Mus musculus: one gene and its partners. The protein of the gene in region 2 purifies or fractionates together with the protein of the main gene of each other region. This does not show direct contact. Links are inferred from orthologs where the notes say so. Each region holds a gene or a part of one and is shown on either strand. Other genes may lie near its edges.

The links.
Region 1: the proteins of Ptpdc1 (region 2) and Ppp2r2a purify together in Homo sapiens (affinity purification with mass spectrometry; 4 studies listed by BioGRID and IntAct, counting the BioPlex papers as one, with this or other methods). This does not show direct contact. The link is inferred for Mus musculus from reciprocal best matches to the Homo sapiens genes PTPDC1 and PPP2R2A.
Region 3: the proteins of Ptpdc1 (region 2) and Ppp2r1b purify together in Homo sapiens (affinity purification with mass spectrometry; 3 studies listed by BioGRID and IntAct, counting the BioPlex papers as one, with this or other methods). This does not show direct contact. The link is inferred for Mus musculus from reciprocal best matches to the Homo sapiens genes PTPDC1 and PPP2R1B.

What each region holds. Positions count from the first base shown.
Region 1 is NC_000080.6:67,069,055-67,074,927, reverse strand, and holds the start of Ppp2r2a (serine/threonine-protein phosphatase 2A 55 kDa regulatory subunit B alpha isoform), read left to right. Parts: upstream 1-2,456; 5' UTR 2,457-2,831; coding exon 2,832-2,838; intron 2,839-4,618; coding exon 4,619-4,693; intron 4,694-5,873. UniProt on the Homo sapiens protein: Substrate-recognition subunit of protein phosphatase 2A (PP2A) that plays a key role in cell cycle by controlling mitosis entry and exit. Involved in chromosome clustering during late mitosis by mediating dephosphorylation of MKI67.
Region 2 is NC_000079.6:48,580,166-48,585,501, reverse strand, and holds part of Ptpdc1 (protein tyrosine phosphatase domain-containing protein 1), read left to right. Parts: intron 1-2,231; coding exon 2,232-2,417; intron 2,418-4,636; coding exon 4,637-4,747; intron 4,748-5,336. UniProt on the Homo sapiens protein: May play roles in cilia formation and/or maintenance.
Region 3 is NC_000075.6:50,854,362-50,860,340, reverse strand, and holds the start of Ppp2r1b (serine/threonine-protein phosphatase 2A 65 kDa regulatory subunit A beta isoform), read right to left. Parts: upstream 3,418-5,979; 5' UTR 3,357-3,417; coding exon 3,243-3,356; intron 2,506-3,242; coding exon 2,415-2,505; intron 1,491-2,414; coding exon 1,390-1,490; intron 1-1,389. UniProt on the Homo sapiens protein: The PR65 subunit of protein phosphatase 2A serves as a scaffolding molecule to coordinate the assembly of the catalytic subunit and a variable regulatory B subunit.

The DNA of each region.
Region 1 (5,873 bases), on a different chromosome or scaffold from region 2:
CAACAGTGAAGAGCCCTTGTTGCTCTTGCAGAAGACTGAGGTTCAATTCCCAGCATCCACATGGCAGCTCACAACCATCTGTCACTCAAGTTCCAGGGGTGTGACACACTCTTCTGATTTCTGAGGGCACAAGGCATGTACATGGTACACACACATGCATGCAGGCGAAAGACTCATACAAGTTAAAGAAATCTTAAAAGTTAAAAAAAGAGAGAGAAAATATTTACAGTTCAGCAAACCTTAAGGAGCCAACATTTAAGTGGTTTTTCTTCCCAATCCAGAAGACTTATTTATTCATCCATTAGTCCCATGAATTATGTGGCTAGTGATAGGGAGATGAATAACATACTTCCTAGCCTCAAAGAATTCTGTCTAATAACAGACACAGACTGAGATCATTTTAATGTGGTTTAAGAAAACAGAAAAGTGCATTATACTTTATGAGACTATTTGTATAAACTGACAACATGACTGCTTCATAGTTTGGTTAAGGGGAGGGTTTTGTTGTAGATATGAGAGAGTGGCCAGAGGCATCTGGAAGAGTCCAGAGCACAGACTGAACATGCCGGAGAGGGAAGAATAATAGCAGAGGATAAAATATAGAGGAAACAGCCAGAATAGCAGGGTCATAAGGAGGAGTAGCTTGGGAGAGAAACACCCGAGGGCTGGAGTTTACAGTAGAGGAGAGGTAAGAAGGGCAGGACACTAGCGTGGACTGAAATGTGCCACAGGATCTTGGGATACCAGCATGTGCTTTGATATACAGTTAGGCAACGTAGGTAGCTATATCTCCTTTTTGCCAGAAGTGAGGGAAATGACATTTTTGGTAGAGGGCCCCTGGCTTCACAAGTTCCTGAAGAATGCTGTTTTTTTTTTTTTTTTTTTTTTTTTTTAATCTAACTTCCAGAAATCCTCCTATAGTCCAGGCTGAGCTCATTTCTGGATATTTGAACTGCCTTTTGCAGTTTGGGAAGTTTCCTTTGGACCTGACACATTTTGTTGTTGTTCTCTTTCCTCCTCCTCTTCCTCCTGTCTTTCTTTCTTTCTTTCTTTCTTTCTTTCTTTTTTTAACTGTTTTAAGATGAGTACATTGTTGTTGTCTTCAGGCACACCAGAAGAGGGAATCAGATCCCATTACTGATGGTTGTGAGCCACCATGTGGCTGCTGGGAATTGAACTCAGGACCTTTGGGAAAGCAGTCAGTGCTCTTAACCACTAGGCCATCTACCCAGCCCTCCTTCTGTCTTTCAAGACAGAGTTTCTTTGTGTGGACTTGGCTGTCCTGGAACTAGCTCTGTAGACCAGGCTGACCTCCAGAAATCTGCTTGCCTCTGCCTCCTTCCCCTCCCTCTCTCTAGGAGGAGAGCTTGGCACTACTAAGAAAGGGCATTTGACCTAGTTAAAGGTGAATAGGAAAGGGGGGGGGGAATGTCAGAGAGTCTGACTGGAAGAGGCTACATTTAAATGGATTTATTTTAATTTTTTGCATGTGTTTGATGTATGTATGTTAGGCAGAGTCTTCTATAGATAGCCCAGGCTAGCCTCAAACTCAGCTGTCCTTGAACTCTAGAACCTCTTAAATGAATACAAGCGCTGTTGAGATTATAGGAATGTGTCACCACGGCCAGAAGAACATATCTTCCTCTTCCTCCTCCTCCTCTTTTTCCTCCTCCTCCTCCTCCTCCTTCTCCTCCTTCTTCTTCTTCTTCTTTTGGTTTTTCAAGACAGGGTTTCTCTGTGTAGCCCCGGCTACCCTGGAACTCACTCTGTAGACCAGGCTGGCCTTGAACTCAGAAATCCGCCTGCCTCTGCCTCTCAAGTGCTGGGATTAAAGGTGTATGCCACCACTGCCCAGCAGAACATACCTTCTTAATCATTGATTTTACCACTTTTATCTGAAAAGACCTTGGCTACTTTTTGCGGCATTCACAACATCCAATTTCTGTGGCGAGCTATTCTTAACTGCTCGCAGTAGCCAAGGGCTCTAGTCCATGGGAAGGTAACCTAATTCACCCAGATGGAACCAGTCCAGTTGTGTCCTTCTGGGCTCAGTGAACTCTCACCTTGGGCAGGCAGTGGCAAGTATGCATCACTCTCCCTTAATTTTGGTGCCTCCGGGGCTCACCCACAGGGTCACTGGAGCAACAAAAGGGGTATTCTCTCGAGAGGGCCAGCTCACCATGTGGTTGAGCATAAGTGAACATATGAGGCCATCCCAAAGTTCCGGCCTTGGCTCTACGGCTTGGGACAGTGAGAGGTGCAGACAGGCCAGGCCTTGGCCACTTGGGCACCGCGGCTTGGCACATCCAGCCCACAGCCACAGCAAACTAAGTGCAGCTCTAGCTCTGTACAGGGACCTTCTCAAGGATCCTAGCGGGCGGGGCGGGGCGAAAGCAAGACAAGAAGGAGGCGTGGCTAACACAGCACGACCCGCCCCAAAGACGCTCCGCCCCCTCAAGTGACGTCACCGGCCAGCCAGCGGGCGCCATTTTGAAAGTGGAGTCGCCTGTCCCTGCCGCCGCGGCCGCCGTCGCTGTCCTAGCCGCCGCTGCCGCCGCCACTACTACCGCCGCCGCCGCCGCTACTGCCGCCGCTGCCGTCTCCACCGCGAGAGAAGGAGCACGAGACGGGACGCCCCTGAGTGAACGCCACCATCCTGCCGACCGCTCCACCCGGGCCGCTTCCTTTCCGCCCCGGTCCCGGTCCCCTCCCCCCTCAGGTGCCATCCGCCTCCATCCGCGCCCTCGATCCCCCCATCCCCAGGTGTGGGGGCTGAGCCCCGGTCGCGGAGACCCCGACGAGCCCGGCAGGGTCACCATTTGCAGCGCGACATGGCAGGTAAAGAAGAAACGGCCCTTGGGCGGCTGACAGGGTGCCGTGCCGCTTCCTCTGCGCGCTCTCCGTCACCCCCTAGCGACCGTGGTGGCGGGGCCTCGGCCTGGGGCGCTGGCCGAGTGTGGGGCGGGCGGGCGGGCCTGGCACTGAGCTGGGACTGTGGGGCCTGGAGGCCGGGCCCGGGGCCTGGCACTACAGGAACACGGCACGGGTGCGTTGGGGGTGGGAGACGGCGTGGGTGGGGCGGGTGCAGGCGTGCAGATGGGTCCCCTCTGCACCCTGCTCCCTCCGCTCTTCCTTACATATTCATTCCTCTTCCCGGTCTACTGAGAACCTTTCTGTAGAAATGTATTCTGGACCGATAAGAAGGAAGACAGCTTTGCAAGTTAAAATACAATGGAGGCATACCCCCACCCCCCCAACTCACGGTCACCCCCCCCCCAACCCCCAGCACCACACAAACATTAATGGGGTAGGTCAGGTTTTGAGGGTGTAAGCCTGAATTTCGTTTTCGATTTTGCTCCCTTCCCGTGTCTTATTTTTTTGCCACTCACGAATGCTAAGCCTTTAATAGAAGTTGCAAGGATTGGGGTGGGGGCTGGGTGGGAGAGAAAGGTAATTTAAACTTTGCATTTTGCACGGTAGCGTTTGGGCAGATGTCCTTTTCCCAGAAGGGTTTCTTGGAGTTAAAATAGTTGTGGAGTTCGCCGATATAAATAGCCAAAGGGAGAGGGATTTTATAAAACCTTGCTGAGGGGGGACGGGGGGGGTGCGGGGGGAGAAAGCCTGATTGAGAATAATTTAGCAAGGAATGGGTAAAGGAAAAGCGAGGTTTAATGTCGTTTGAGAGTCGGTTATCTTTGTACAATTTAGTCTTGAAGCCCTTCCTCTCATAGAGTAATTCTGGATTGAGATTGAGTTTCTTTTCCAGAAATCCCGGGGTGCCCCCATCCCCCCATTTCCTCTTCAGTGCTGAGCAGTGAGTGTCGGAGATTAAACCAATTTTCCTTTCTTTTCAATATTTGCATAGATAATAGAACCTTTAAAGAAGTTATGCTGGACTGGTTTACAGTTTGCTATATAAACAGGCTGCCCTTTGACCTTGCTGAACAATGAAATGATAATTGGAACTGTATTGTAGGAGATGAGCAACGAATAAGGTTGCTTTTTTCTGGGTCCTTTGGATGCAGTAGGTGAATGTGGCAGGAGCAGCCTCCTTTGACCATCTCTTCCCAGGCGTGCATTTCCGCCCCTTTTCCTCTGTCTGCAACCAGTGATTTGCTCCTAACGAATGCAAAGAAATGGGTGTTGTGTTTGCTTAGTCCACATGAATCATCCTCTCAGGCAGTAATGTTCCCGAAGTTTTCTCTTCGTTCTATATTTCATGGTAGTTTAGCCTTATAACTCTTTTGTAGGCCTTTTGTACATTTAAAGGAAAACTAACTTTGGTGCTTTGGTTGGTTTTGTTTTTGTTTTTGTTTTTTCCTGGTAGGTTTTAACTTGAAAGGTTCTGACTGTCTTTAAGGAGAGGGAAAAGTGGAAGTGAGGTTTTAAATATCTGTATGATGATAATTACTGGTAGGCTGTATGTCTTTGGATATTTCGTACCTGCAGACTTGTTTTTAATACACTACCAACTATTGGAGGCCAATTTGGTTCCAAATCTGTGGGCTCAGTGGTAGTTACATAGGGAGTTATGATGCCAGCCTCGGGAACCATCTCTGTGTTTATAAGCGTAAACAGAACAGAGCTCAGTTTTAATTGCTATGTTTTCTTCTTCCAGGAGCTGGAGGAGGGAATGATATTCAGTGGTGTTTTTCTCAGGTGAAAGGAGCAGTAGATGATGACGTAGCAGAAGGTAAGACATTTTAACAGTGACGACTATCGACTTAAAAGTCCTGGGTGCTGAAGGAACTCAGTGTTTTGTGTTTGCTTTCTGAGAGGTGGGATGATAGCTTTAAAAAAAATCACCTTTCTGAAAAGTCTGTATATCTTCTTATGTCTTGCTTATCTTTTTTTTTTTCATTGAGTTAATGAAGTAGATGTCCAGCAGTCAGTGCTCTAAGGTTTGTGTGACTAAGGTGTCTTTGTTACATACATTCTACATATAAATGACTGGTCTTCATGTTTATGTGTTATTTTTCGATAAAACAGAGAAACAGAGGCCAGCAGCTCTTAGCTCAGAACCGCTCCCAGCAGCACCTCTTACTCTGTGGGGGGCTCTGGTTCTTTTGAACTCCACTGCTTTGGGATGTGGCACTGGTCGACATGGCTGCTGGTCCACATGATTCACTTTACTGTGCTGCAGGGATTTGTGCGTGTGGTTAAGACAGATAAGATAGAACAAATTACTGTGGGGACTTTTTTTGAGATAGAAACTTGCTAATTTATTTCAGAACGTATCTAAAGTTTTGAAATGTCAAGGTCTTGCGTGCAGTCTGAGGTGATCTTTTGTGATAGAGACAAATAATCTCAAAAGGGATTCTTTGCTCAGAAATATTTAATATAGTTTGTGGACTCTGTGTGTGTATGTGTGTGTATTTGAGAGGGAGAGGATGTGTGTGTGTCTGTCTGTCTGTCTGTGTCTGTCTGCCTGTCTGTCCCTAGCTGGCTTTGAATTTGCTATGTAGACTAGGTTGTTCTTGAATTCGGAGATCCATCCGCCTGCCTCTGCCTCCCCAATAAAGTTAGTGGGATTTTTCTAAATAGAAGTCAAAGAAGAGTATGTATTTCTGGTTGTCTGAAAATGTGTACCCCTTTCTTTAGGTGTGGAACCTTTCCTTGTGGTTCTCCTCTGCTGCCATAGAGTGCTGTGCTGAGGATTTCTTTTCAGGTGGTGGTAGGCCAAAGACTGTTGACTAGGAGATGCTTGTGTGGTGACATTTGTCTCCAGTGTGTGCGTGGTGTGGTGAGTCCTGTAGAAAGTCATTGGCACACTTGTGCTTCCAGCCTCTGTTACCTTTGTTTTCTGGTGGTCCTTATTCCTTTCTCACATGAGAGACTGGAAACTTGGAAAGAATTAAAGGGTTTAGAGTGAC
Region 2 (5,336 bases):
GCATTTCTAAGACCCCCAATATGAGTGCCGGGAATCGAACTCGGGTCCTCTGGAAGCGCGTGCTTTCACCCCTGAGTTGTCTCTTCAGATCTCGCTATTAAAGTGACTGCTACTCTTCCACACTCCACTATCCATTGAAACAAGAAGCTAGGAGATTGTCAGAGGCAGGAAATTAAGTTTGGACCCCATGCTGACTTACAGTGTACCACAGAGGAGGGAACCAAGTAAAAGCTCTTCTGGATTAAAGTGCGTACCTAACGAAACCCAAACAGTTTTCCTTTCAAATACATTTTCTTTATTCCTCACTATAAACTGAGAAAAAACTAAGCCTCTCCTCCAGCCAGCAAATATTTCACATGCGTTACTGTGTGTTAGGAACTAGCGAATGGAAGGGTCTTTGTGTAAAGTACGTCATGGGGCTATTTCTGGGTCAGCCCTGCATGCCCCTCAACCAAGTGCCCACATGACATAAGATGGGTTTGGGTCCGGAGCTTTAATCAAGACCTGTGAGGCAGGAACTGTCGAGTCTTTGCAGGTTCTATGATCTGCACAGAGTTCCAGGTCCCTTCTTACCTTCTTAGATTTATTTCAGGACTCTGAGTACCTAAACAAGCCAGTGGTACTCTGGGAAGTGGTGAAACAACCATGTTGATGTGTGTGCTTGTGTTAACCCATTTGTGAATACGCTGTGCGCTTCTCTCAATAACCCTAGGCTCAGGTGGACTGTTTAGAGACTCCTTGTTACCATTATGAATTCCGTGTCACCGGTGAGGAAACTAAGGACTCCAGACATCTAGTGGCCTCCTGTAGGCATGGTTGATGTGTCAGAGCTAGAGTACAGTTTGACTAGTCAGTCTCTCTTACATCTCTGCCTCCGTGGGAAGCTCCAGCCAGCACCATGGGGCAGTACTTATTTCACAAGATAGCTTTTGTTCTGCCCAGTTTCTCTCCTCATATAGCCCTAAGATTAAATTAAAGGCTATCCTGTACTGTACACAGTGTGTGAGATAGGCAGGGGTATGAACAGCTCCAAGGATGGGCTCATTTCTAAGAGAAAGGGAAACGCAGGCCTAGTGGGTTCCTATGCTACAGCCAGTGGAGTAAGGCGAGCTAATGGAGCACTCTCCACCCTTCTCAGGCCTCGAGCTCTGCACGGGCTTGTCTCCACCTCAGTGTTTATCTGTGAGGAGCCTCCTTGAGAGCTGCTATGAAAGTTAGGAAGCAGTCCTGTGATACTGATGCTGTCACATTGTGGTACATGCTGCAAGAATTTACTGGACAACTAAATGGATGTTAATAACTACTTTATTTTTTACAATTGAACATTTTTATTCAATTTACCAAAACATAAATCTGATCTCAGAAATTTTTTTAACTCCTTTTTATAAGGTGAAGTCTTAAGATCTCATGTGAGGCTGGCAGTATGACTCATTAAAGACGAATCCCTCTGAGCTTGAGTCTGAACTCCAGGACCACATAATAGAAAGAGAAAAAGCAGCTCCACAAAGTTGTCTTCTGGTCTACACACACTCATACTCACATACACACACTCATACACACAAACTCACACACACACACGCTAGTAACATGCACATGCATGCACACATGTGCAGGCACATACACAAATATGCACAAATAAATAATTAAACTCATATTTGCACTTCCCAGATCTCAGAGTGCTGGACCCATTACCTGCTCTGTAGGATTCTAACAAGCACGTAGAAAAATGCATACCACATTTACTGGCTTTAATGGAATACACACACACACACACACACACATACACACACACACACACACACAAACTTTGACGTTTCGGTTAAAAGGTTTAGTTAGCTAAGATCCCAGATTAACTTATAAGTGGTCTCTTATTTTTAATCTACCATTTTACTTCATTTGCTGTCAAATTTCTGTTTTGTTTACCAGATGCCGGAGAAAAAAAGACTCCATTTTGAGCTACTTCTATGGTCTCTGAATCAGTCAGGGCCACACAGTGTAGTGACTCTTCTCTCAGTAGTTAGCTAACCCTGTTTGTGACAGGAATGAGCCTGGGCTTGGGGAAGCTCCTGTGTTAGCCAAGTGCCCATACCTAGAGGTGCAGGCCCCGGGGAAGGTCCAGGTTGCACCTCAGAGGCCAGCCTCAACTCTGTAAGTGCTTATGAATCCTCTAGTTCGGGTCCATACACCTCTTTTCCCCCCAGATCTCTCCCTCTCTCCCTCTTCCTTTGTAGAAAGAACTAAATTCCCGGGAGGAAGCCTGGGAACGAATATGCGGCGAGAGAGACCCTTTCATCTTGTGCAGTTTGATGTGGTCTTGGGTTGAGCAACTGAAAGAGCCTGTAATCACCAAAGAGGATGTGGACATGCTGGTCGACAGACAAGCAGATGCTGCCGAAGCCCTGTTTTTACTAGAGAAGGTAAAGTAGCAATTGGACCGGCTAATGAAGATAATTAAGGCCTCACTATAAGCTTCAGACATGTGCAAAAAATCCATTACTAAAAGAATGAATTCTCTATTTATGTCTAACTCAGGGGGTTTTCTTTTCTTTTACACCCCAGTTCTGTGTGTATGGTCTGTGTGCAAGTTTGTATGTTTGTATGCAATGCTGACAGAAGACAGGAGAGGGCATCGATTCCCCTGGAGCTGGAGTTACAGGTCTTTGTGAGCTACCTGCTGTGGGGTTCAAGGAACTGAACTCAGGTCCTTTGCAAGAGCAGCAGCTCATGTTCCTAACCACTGGGCCATCTCTCCACTCCCCTAATTGAGTCGTTTTTCTAAGATAAGAGAATAAACTTGGGCTGGGATGTGGCTCAGTGGTAGAGAACAAGCCTAGTGTGTGCGAGGCCCTGGGTTTGATCTGCAGCACTGTAGACGCGGCAAAACTGATTAACAAAGTAAGCATTCAGAAAACAGAAATGGCAGTGAATGCCTGTAATCCTGCCACTCAGGAGGTAGAGAGAGGATTGTAAGTTTGAGGCCAGCCTGGACTACATCCTAGATTCCAGGACATCTTGTAGTGTGCAGCAAGACTATCTCAAAAAACCAAGCTGGGGAAGTGGCTCCCTGGGAGATCCTTTGTGTAGCATGCTCAAGGGCCCAGGTCTGATGCCCACCCCCTAAAAGGAAGCTGTCTATAACTGAGACGGAGATGACCACACTTTCAGGAATCATTTCTAATGTGTGAATTTTGGAAGAGTCACATTAAATTCTTCCAACCTTTCTTTTTAAATCTCTTCAGTGTAAATTTTTAATATAGCAAATGTCATTAAATTTTAGATTTTATTTTGTCTTGAAAGTATGGTATTTTGCCAGGTGTGATAGTGCATACCTTTAATCTCCTCACAAGAGTCAGAGGCAAGCATATCTCTGAGTTTGAGGACAGCCTGGTCTACATAGTGATTTCCAAGCCAGCATAGTAAGACTCTGTCCCCAAACAAAGCAAAACAAAAAGATGTGATTGTTTTTCCTAAGTGGGTGAGCATCTGTGGTAGAGGCTGTGGTGACTAGAGCGGATCTTAAGTGGGCTGTGTTATAACTCTCCACCTTTTCAAAGTCTTGTTTCTACTTACTGTGAGCCTGTGTCAATAAAAACTAAATGCAAATTGGAATGTGCACTCCTTAGAACTTTTAAAGGGGAATATATCACAGGTACTTGTATGTGTGCAGACATCTATATAGCATATATATGTATGAAGTAGAAAAGAATATCAGGAAGCTATCAACTAGTCCCAGTGTTTGCCATCAGGGAAGGATACTGTGAATATAGGAAGAGAAGGAGATGGCTTTTCATTATAGATCCTATTATACAGTTTAATATTTTTAACCAAATAAGGATACAATCTTTTTAGTTCAAAATAGGCCTTGCTTTTGTTTTGGGGAAACAATGCTGTTAGCCTTGAGTTACCTTCTGTGCTATAGTGTAACCATCTCATTGTTCCCAAGTCCTCACTAAAATCTGTGACTGTGTCTACTCACAAACTTCTGTCACAGTATGTTCACAGACACACTTGCTGGCAATGTTCTCACATACATGTGTGTCATGTATGTGAGCATGCATGTGAAGACCTAAGGTTAATGTCATATGTCTTCCTCCATTTCTCTCTACCCCATGTATCTGGCTAGGCTGGCTAGGCAGCTTGCTATAGGAATTCCCATCTCCACCTCCCTGGCTGTGTTTATAGGCCCCTCATGTCCACAAGACTTTTTGCATGGGTTCTAGAAATCTGAATTCCAGGCTTCAGGCTTGCATAGAAAGCTCTTTACCTGAGCCATCTGTGCAGCCCTATGTATACCTTGTAAGGTAAGATTTTTTTTTCCCAGTGTGTAGAATCCTTTTCTTAGGTTATTTTCCCAGGGGTTAAATGTCAGAGATAAAACAGGAGATGGTAGATAAGGAAGGAAGGAGATTAACCTTGTTGAACAGCTATGAACAATCCCTGTGGGAAGTAATTCCATTCTCACCTCTGGCCATCTTGATAGTCCTTGGAGATGAAGGACCCCTTTTACAGACAAGGCACGGTAGAGTACCTTGCTCAAGGTTTATGGCAGGTACCCAAACAAGATCATACTGGATCGTACTGAAGCTCCTGCACGTGGTCTCATCAAGCCGTCTGTAATGATAATCTGTGTCCACAGGGGCAGTACCAGACCATCCTCTGTGTGCTGCACTGCATAGTGAGCCTGCAGACGCTTCCCATGGAGGTGGAGGAAGCTTGCCTTTTACATGCCATTAAAGCTTTCACCAAGGTGAGTCCCTGTGTCCTCCACACCAGTCACAGCACCTCTGTAAGTCAGGGATCCAGAGAGCAACTTCTCTTCTCAAGTAAAACGTTCAGCTCTTTCCTGAAATGCAACTGTGTTTTATAAGTAGTTACAGGATTTCCTAACCATGGTATCAGGATAAAGCTGACCTGTGAGGTTGTTGAAGAATAATGTGGGAGCAAAGAGACAAACGGCTGGGTATTCCACAAGTCTTTTTAAATCCTATTCTCATAAGAGTCCGAGGTATTTGCATGACCAGCCAGTTCCACCTTGGGTTTAAACAAGAATCATCTAAGCAGAGTTAACTGTCCAAACTTTTCAAGTTGGTATCCACAAAATATGAAATAAATGCTTCTAGGAGAAATGCAGTTGTTTATTTCTGACGTGTGAGCCTTGTGGACGCCATCAGCAAGACACTGGCCAACAAGTAGAGCAGCATCCTGCATCCCTTGTGTTGCTGATGAAGTGAGCAGCCTTTCCCGTGTGATTGCTTGTCCAGGAAGGAGCAGTTTGTGGAGGGAGATGCTGCACCAGGATCCGGATTCCCTCTCAGTAGGGCATCCCTTCCTCTGGG
Region 3 (5,979 bases), on a different chromosome or scaffold from region 2:
CCTACATTCTAATGGGGGAGATGTCAAATTACAACAGGGTGACGGGCAAGGGGTGGTTGTGACAGGCAAGGCCTCTCAAGATACAAAATGGAGTTGTCCGACTTACACGGACTCCACTATAGAAAACTCTAAATAGCATCTCTCTGAAGATAACATCTACAGCCAACGTCTGGGCAACAATGACCTGGGCTTATAAGGAAAGACCAATGTGCATGGAATGAAGTTACCAAGAGGAACATGCGTATATATAATGAGTTTTTCACTGCTGTGAATCCAAATAGCTACCAGAAGAAACAACATGAGCCTCAGCACAACAACATGGCAGTAATAAAGTGTGGCAGAAGAGTTTTTCTGACTCACTGCAAGGAAGCAAACGAGTCCAAGGACAGAAGCCCCACAACAATGCTACTAGCCAGGCACAAGTGCCCATGAATGCACAAATGAAGACTGAACTGGGATGGATGCAGTCGACAAGACTAATAGCTTAGGCGTGAAGGGGGAGAGGATTTAAGGAGGCCTTCCTCTGCTGGGCTGTAGCTCGGTGAAGGAACACTCACCTAGCATGCAAAGGCCCAGGCTTCAACTTCTCTGACGTAATTTGACATCAAAGCTATCTTCTAGGCTGGCCTTGTATAGCTAGGTAGCTAGTGATATGACTCAAAAAGAGGCACGTTTTGAGGGAAAAATGACAACCCGTATCTAAATCTGTTGTGATTTCTACAAGTGTCCACTTACCTCTTCTCCATCTATGTCTGGAGTTCTACAGAACCATCAAGGTAGAGCTAGGAACCATGGGAGCCAGCATTGAATACACAGTGCTTAAACCCCTAAACAGACAGCCCTGCCTTGTCAGCTGGTCAGCTTCTAGTCATCCTTTAAGGTCTAGTTCATCTGCATAGTGATGCATACCTTTAATCTCAGCACTCTGGAGGCAGAGGCAGGAGGATCTCTATGAGTTCAAAGCTAGCCTGTTCTATATAGAACCAAGGCTACAAAACAAGACCTTGCCTCAAAAAATACAAACAATGCCAGGGCCAAGAAGCAGGAGTGGGGAGGAAGGGAGCAGGGGAGCAGGGTGGTTATAGGGAACTTTCGGGATAGCATTAGAAATGTATATAAAGAAAATATCTAATAAAAAAAATTACAAACAAAAGAAAAAGGGGAACCAAATCAAGTTCTTTCCCTCCGCATCTCTGAAATAATAAGTCTATAGAGGCAGAAACAAGCTTACATTCGGCTGGTAAGATCTAAGTCTTGTTAGTATTATTATTGTCATCTGCCCATAAGAAGTCTGCATAAAATGCTGCAATGTGCCTATCACCAGTTAATAAAGGCACTGTTGATCCTACAAAGTTCTAGAAGGAGCATAGACGATAGAAAAGTACTCACCAGCAGACAGTGGGCAAAGTCAGGACCGCCCACCAAACCAGTGAAATTTCCCAGCTGCTCGGCGAGAGCTAACAGCACCTCATCTTCATCATAAATAGTATCTGAAAACAACAACAGCTGGTTACCACAGGGGCAAGGGCCACTGCGCTGGCTCTCACAGAGCGGTTGCAACTAGAATCCTAAAAGCATTTTCATCCCTCTCTAAATCACAAGTCTTTTTTTGTCAGTTTTTTTATTAGATATTTTCTTTATATACATTTCAAATTTCAAATGCTATCCCGAAAGTTCCCTATACCCCCCACCCCCGCCCTGCTCCCCTACCCACCCACTCCCACTTCTTGGCCCTGGCGTTCCCCTGTACTGGGGCATATAAAGTTTGCAAGATCAAGGGGCCTCTCTTCCCAGTGATGGCCGACTAGGCCATCTTCTGCTACATATGCAGCTAGAGACACGAGCTCCGGGGGTACTGGTTAGTTCATATTGTTGTTCCACCTATAGGGCTGCAGACCCCTTCAGCTCCTTGGGTGCTTTCTCTAGCTCCTATATTGGAGCTATATTGGAGCTGTGTTCCATCTTATAGATGACTACCACAAGTCTTCCTGAATGTTTCACACAATTATTAAGAAACTCACATCCTGGAGCTGGAGAGATGGCTCAGTGGTTAAGGGCACTGGCTGCTCTTCCAGAGAAGCAGCGTTCAATGCCCAGCACCCACATGGCAACTTAACAACTGCCTATAACTCCAGTTCCAGGGGATCTGTCACTTTCACATGCAGGCAAAACACCAATGCATATAAAATAAATCATTTACAAAGAAATCCATATTTCACATCAATCACCTTCCCACTAGCTACACGGTTTATGTTTGAGTATGTCTGACTATATGTAGCATTTCTATACACCTTGCAGAAGGCAAGGCTCAGTCTAGTACTTATCGCTACTCTAGGTAACAAACTAAGAAAATTAAATAAAAATAGTTTAAAAGCCAATAGAAATGGAGCGTGTATCTTTCAAGGGACACAAACCTGTAAGGAAAGGCAGCAGTTCCGTTCGAGTCCTTTCTACCCCGAGTGCTAGAGCTATAGTTGATAACTTCTTAATACTGTTGAGACGGAGCTTTAAAAACAAAGTGGGAGGGAGAACAAAGCAAAGAGATGATTGCAATTCTGGTCAAAGAAGCAAATAGGTGAGATACTGGGACACAGTATAATGATGAATGAGCCTTTCACTTAGATCTTAATCCTAGGAAAACTCAAGGACCGTTTAACACGTCATTAGCCAGAAGCTATCTTAGGGAGAACACTGAAGGGCCGGGGAAGAAACGAATGAATGAAAACACGCGGACAATGAGAGGGTCTGAAAAGAGAGAACTCTGGATGGAGAGAAGTGGGTGAAAGAAACGGTTAAGCACAACTCCTCCCTTTTCAGGGAAAAGTTCTATCACAACTGATGCACCACTCATCTGGGTTAATCAGCCGCCGCGCTCTTTCCACCCAACCAGCCCAGCTAGTTTGCCCGGGGACGGACACTCCGCATCACTTCAAAGGGAACGGGGGCCGGGGGCCGCTCCTCCGCTCCCGGCGGCCCCGCAGCCCGCCTGCGCTGGTCCACCCGAGGTGCGAACCGGTTCCCCGCCCACTGCCGGGAGCAGATGGACGCCACCACCCCAGAGGGTCGGAGGAGGGCAGCGGAGCTGAGACGGACCACCGCGCACCCGCCGCCCCACGCCTCCGTCCCGGGGCTGAATACGACTCTGCCACCCCGGGGGTCGCCCCCAGGGCTGAGCCGGCCTTTCCGCTTCCCTACCATGTGCGCTTCCGCCCTCGCCTCGGCTCCCCAGCCCAGCCTAGTACCTGCACGTCCTCATTGCGGAGCTCGTCGATTAAAACCGCGATCGGGTAGAGCGAATCGTCTCCATCTCCACCCGCTGCCCCCGGACCGGACCCTGGCCCTGCTGCGCCCGCCATGTTCTTCCTCCTCTGGCTGGTCGCCGCCGAAGGCCCCGTGCCCAGACCACGCCCCGCGCTCAGGCCACGCCCCGCGCTCAGGCCACGCCCCACACACAAACAGGCGGGGCTAAATCCAATCAGCCGGCTCCGAGGAACTGATGGAATCAAGTTTTTTCCCTGCGCGTGGAGGCTCCGGCCTGACCCCCATTGCTGGAACTGGAGGTCTGAACTCCAGAAGAAGGGCGGGCCGAAAAAACCAATGGAACCCCTGCATCCTTTCCCCAGCCGAAAGAAACAAGGGCAGGGATTCATCGTCTCCTTGCTGTGCTCTGAAGGAGACGGGCCTTAATGATGGATGCCGAGCCTCAAGTAGAACTCAGAGACAGGCCAGGAGGAAGAAGCTTTAACACCTCCCCCTCCACCCCAACCTCCACCCCCACCCCCAGGCTTCATGCTGGCCCTGAGCCACTGGGTCTTGGTCTTAATTTCCCCTTGGGCGACAAGCCTCTACACGCGCGCGCGCGCGCACACACACACACACACACACACACACACACACACACACACCTTCCTCTGGCCTGTTTGCCAAAATCGTGGCTGGCTCCTGCTCCTTAAGACAAATAATGAGGGCGGTGAGAGAAAATGAACAGTGCTGTCCAAACTCCCCAGTCAATATTTTTTCCACGCAAGCTGTTCAAAACATGCTGCTCTCTTGTTTTTGTGTTTCTTTTCAGTGTGGTACTGGAATGGCGCCTTCTGTTGTATTGTCTTCTCTTTTTTTTTCCTTCTTTACCAAGAAGCACAACAACCTAACATAACTGGGCCCAGTTTTACTCACCCCAGTTCGGTGCGGGTGTAAACTGGCCTCCCTAGACCTCCAGGAGTCCCCCTAAAGGACTCCAGGAGGAGGTGGGCCTGGGCCTTTTTACACAGAACTTAATGGAAAATGTTCCACTTGCCCTATGGAATGGCACAAAGTAACTATCTCTCCTTTCGACTTAGATATAAGCAACTTAGATTGGTAGCTCTGTCACAAGTTCTCAGATGACACTATTTTGTGCCTTAAGGAAATTGTCATTAATAAATGCAACTTAGGAGGTAAGTTTTTTTTTTTTTCTTTTTAAAGCATGGGATGCCTACTAGGAGATAGCCTTTCATAGTCAAAGCTTGAGAACCAACAGACTTCAGTTTGCGGTTTTTGTTTTTTCAACTTCTGTCCACGAATGAATGCTTGAAGACTCTCGTTTTATTTTGATAATTTTTAGATTCACTTACTTAAGGCATGGTCTGGACTGCTGGGGTGGCTATCTTTTTTAATTACAAAAACTGTGTATATGTGTGGTATGTACACACATGAGCCACTGAACAAGTGTAGTCAGAGGACAGCTTGCGGAGTGGGTTATCTACTTCTACCAAGTGGGTTCCAGTAACTGAACTCTGGTTGTCAGGTTTGGTGACACATGCCTTTATCCACTGAGCCATCTAGCTGGCCCCCAGGGACTACCTGAATCAGCCCTGCACAGGATTTCAGCACCCGTATTTGCGTGAGTTTCAGCACAGCTTTCATTGTTCTGGGCTCCTAAGAAATGAACAGAGGTGGAAGCTAAATGAAAAATATGTTTTTATGCACAAAATGGAAGACAGAGGGTACCATGCAATTACAGTCTCAATGGCTCTAAACAAGGTAAAAAAAAAAAAAAAAAAAAAAAGGGGGAGAAACTGGAGGCATGAGCAGAGCAAAGCCTAGAGAAGCTGAGCTTGGGCCAGCAAGCCCAGACTCCCAAAGCGTGGCTTGGCTTTAGTGTCAGACACATTTGTCATACTAAATTACAAAAATATCAACATTATTGATTTTAATAATATTGGCCTTGTGGCTTCATGTATATTTAACTTGTAAATCTGGTTTTGTAGCTGTATAAAGACTAGTTTTAAGAGAACATAATGTTGGTTTATATTTGAAAATTTAAGTAACATTTAATAATTTGACTGAGTTCTCGGGATTTTTTTTTTTTTTTGTCTTTAAAAATGGATCCAGCCATGTTTAAGGGTTCATGCCTTTAACCCCAGCACGAGGAAGACAGAGAGGCAGGTGGGGGCTTTGTGAACTTGAAACCCGCCTGCTCTACATAGTGAGCTCCAGGTCACCCAAGGCTACAGACCTTGGAGTAAGACCCTGTCCCCCAACTCCCCAAAAAAGTACACCCAGGTGCATGCTCACAGTCTCAGTGCTTAGGAGACAGTGGCAAGAGAGCACAGACAGCTCTAGGCTGGCCAGGGTTCACAGAGAGACCCTGATGGGTCCAGCCAGGCACGGGATGCTCCAGCCTGTGATCCTGTCTGTACATGTCCAGCATGCTGCAGACACTACTCCGTCCCCCTCTAGGCCCTTATCTAAAATGTGTTCCAAAGTGATAGAAGCAAGCAAGCACAGAGAGGAGAGGACTAGTCAGTCCCACACTGTGACAGGCTCATAAACTTGACACACCGGCACTAAGGTAGTCTGCTTCAGAGTCAGCTGTAACCTGCTCGCCCAAGCACGATGAGCGGAGGCCTAGGGAATGACTATGATCAAACGTGAAATCACAAACCGTGGAAACAAGGGCCTAGAAATTGCCTGGTTTGAGAGTCACAGAGGCCAGAC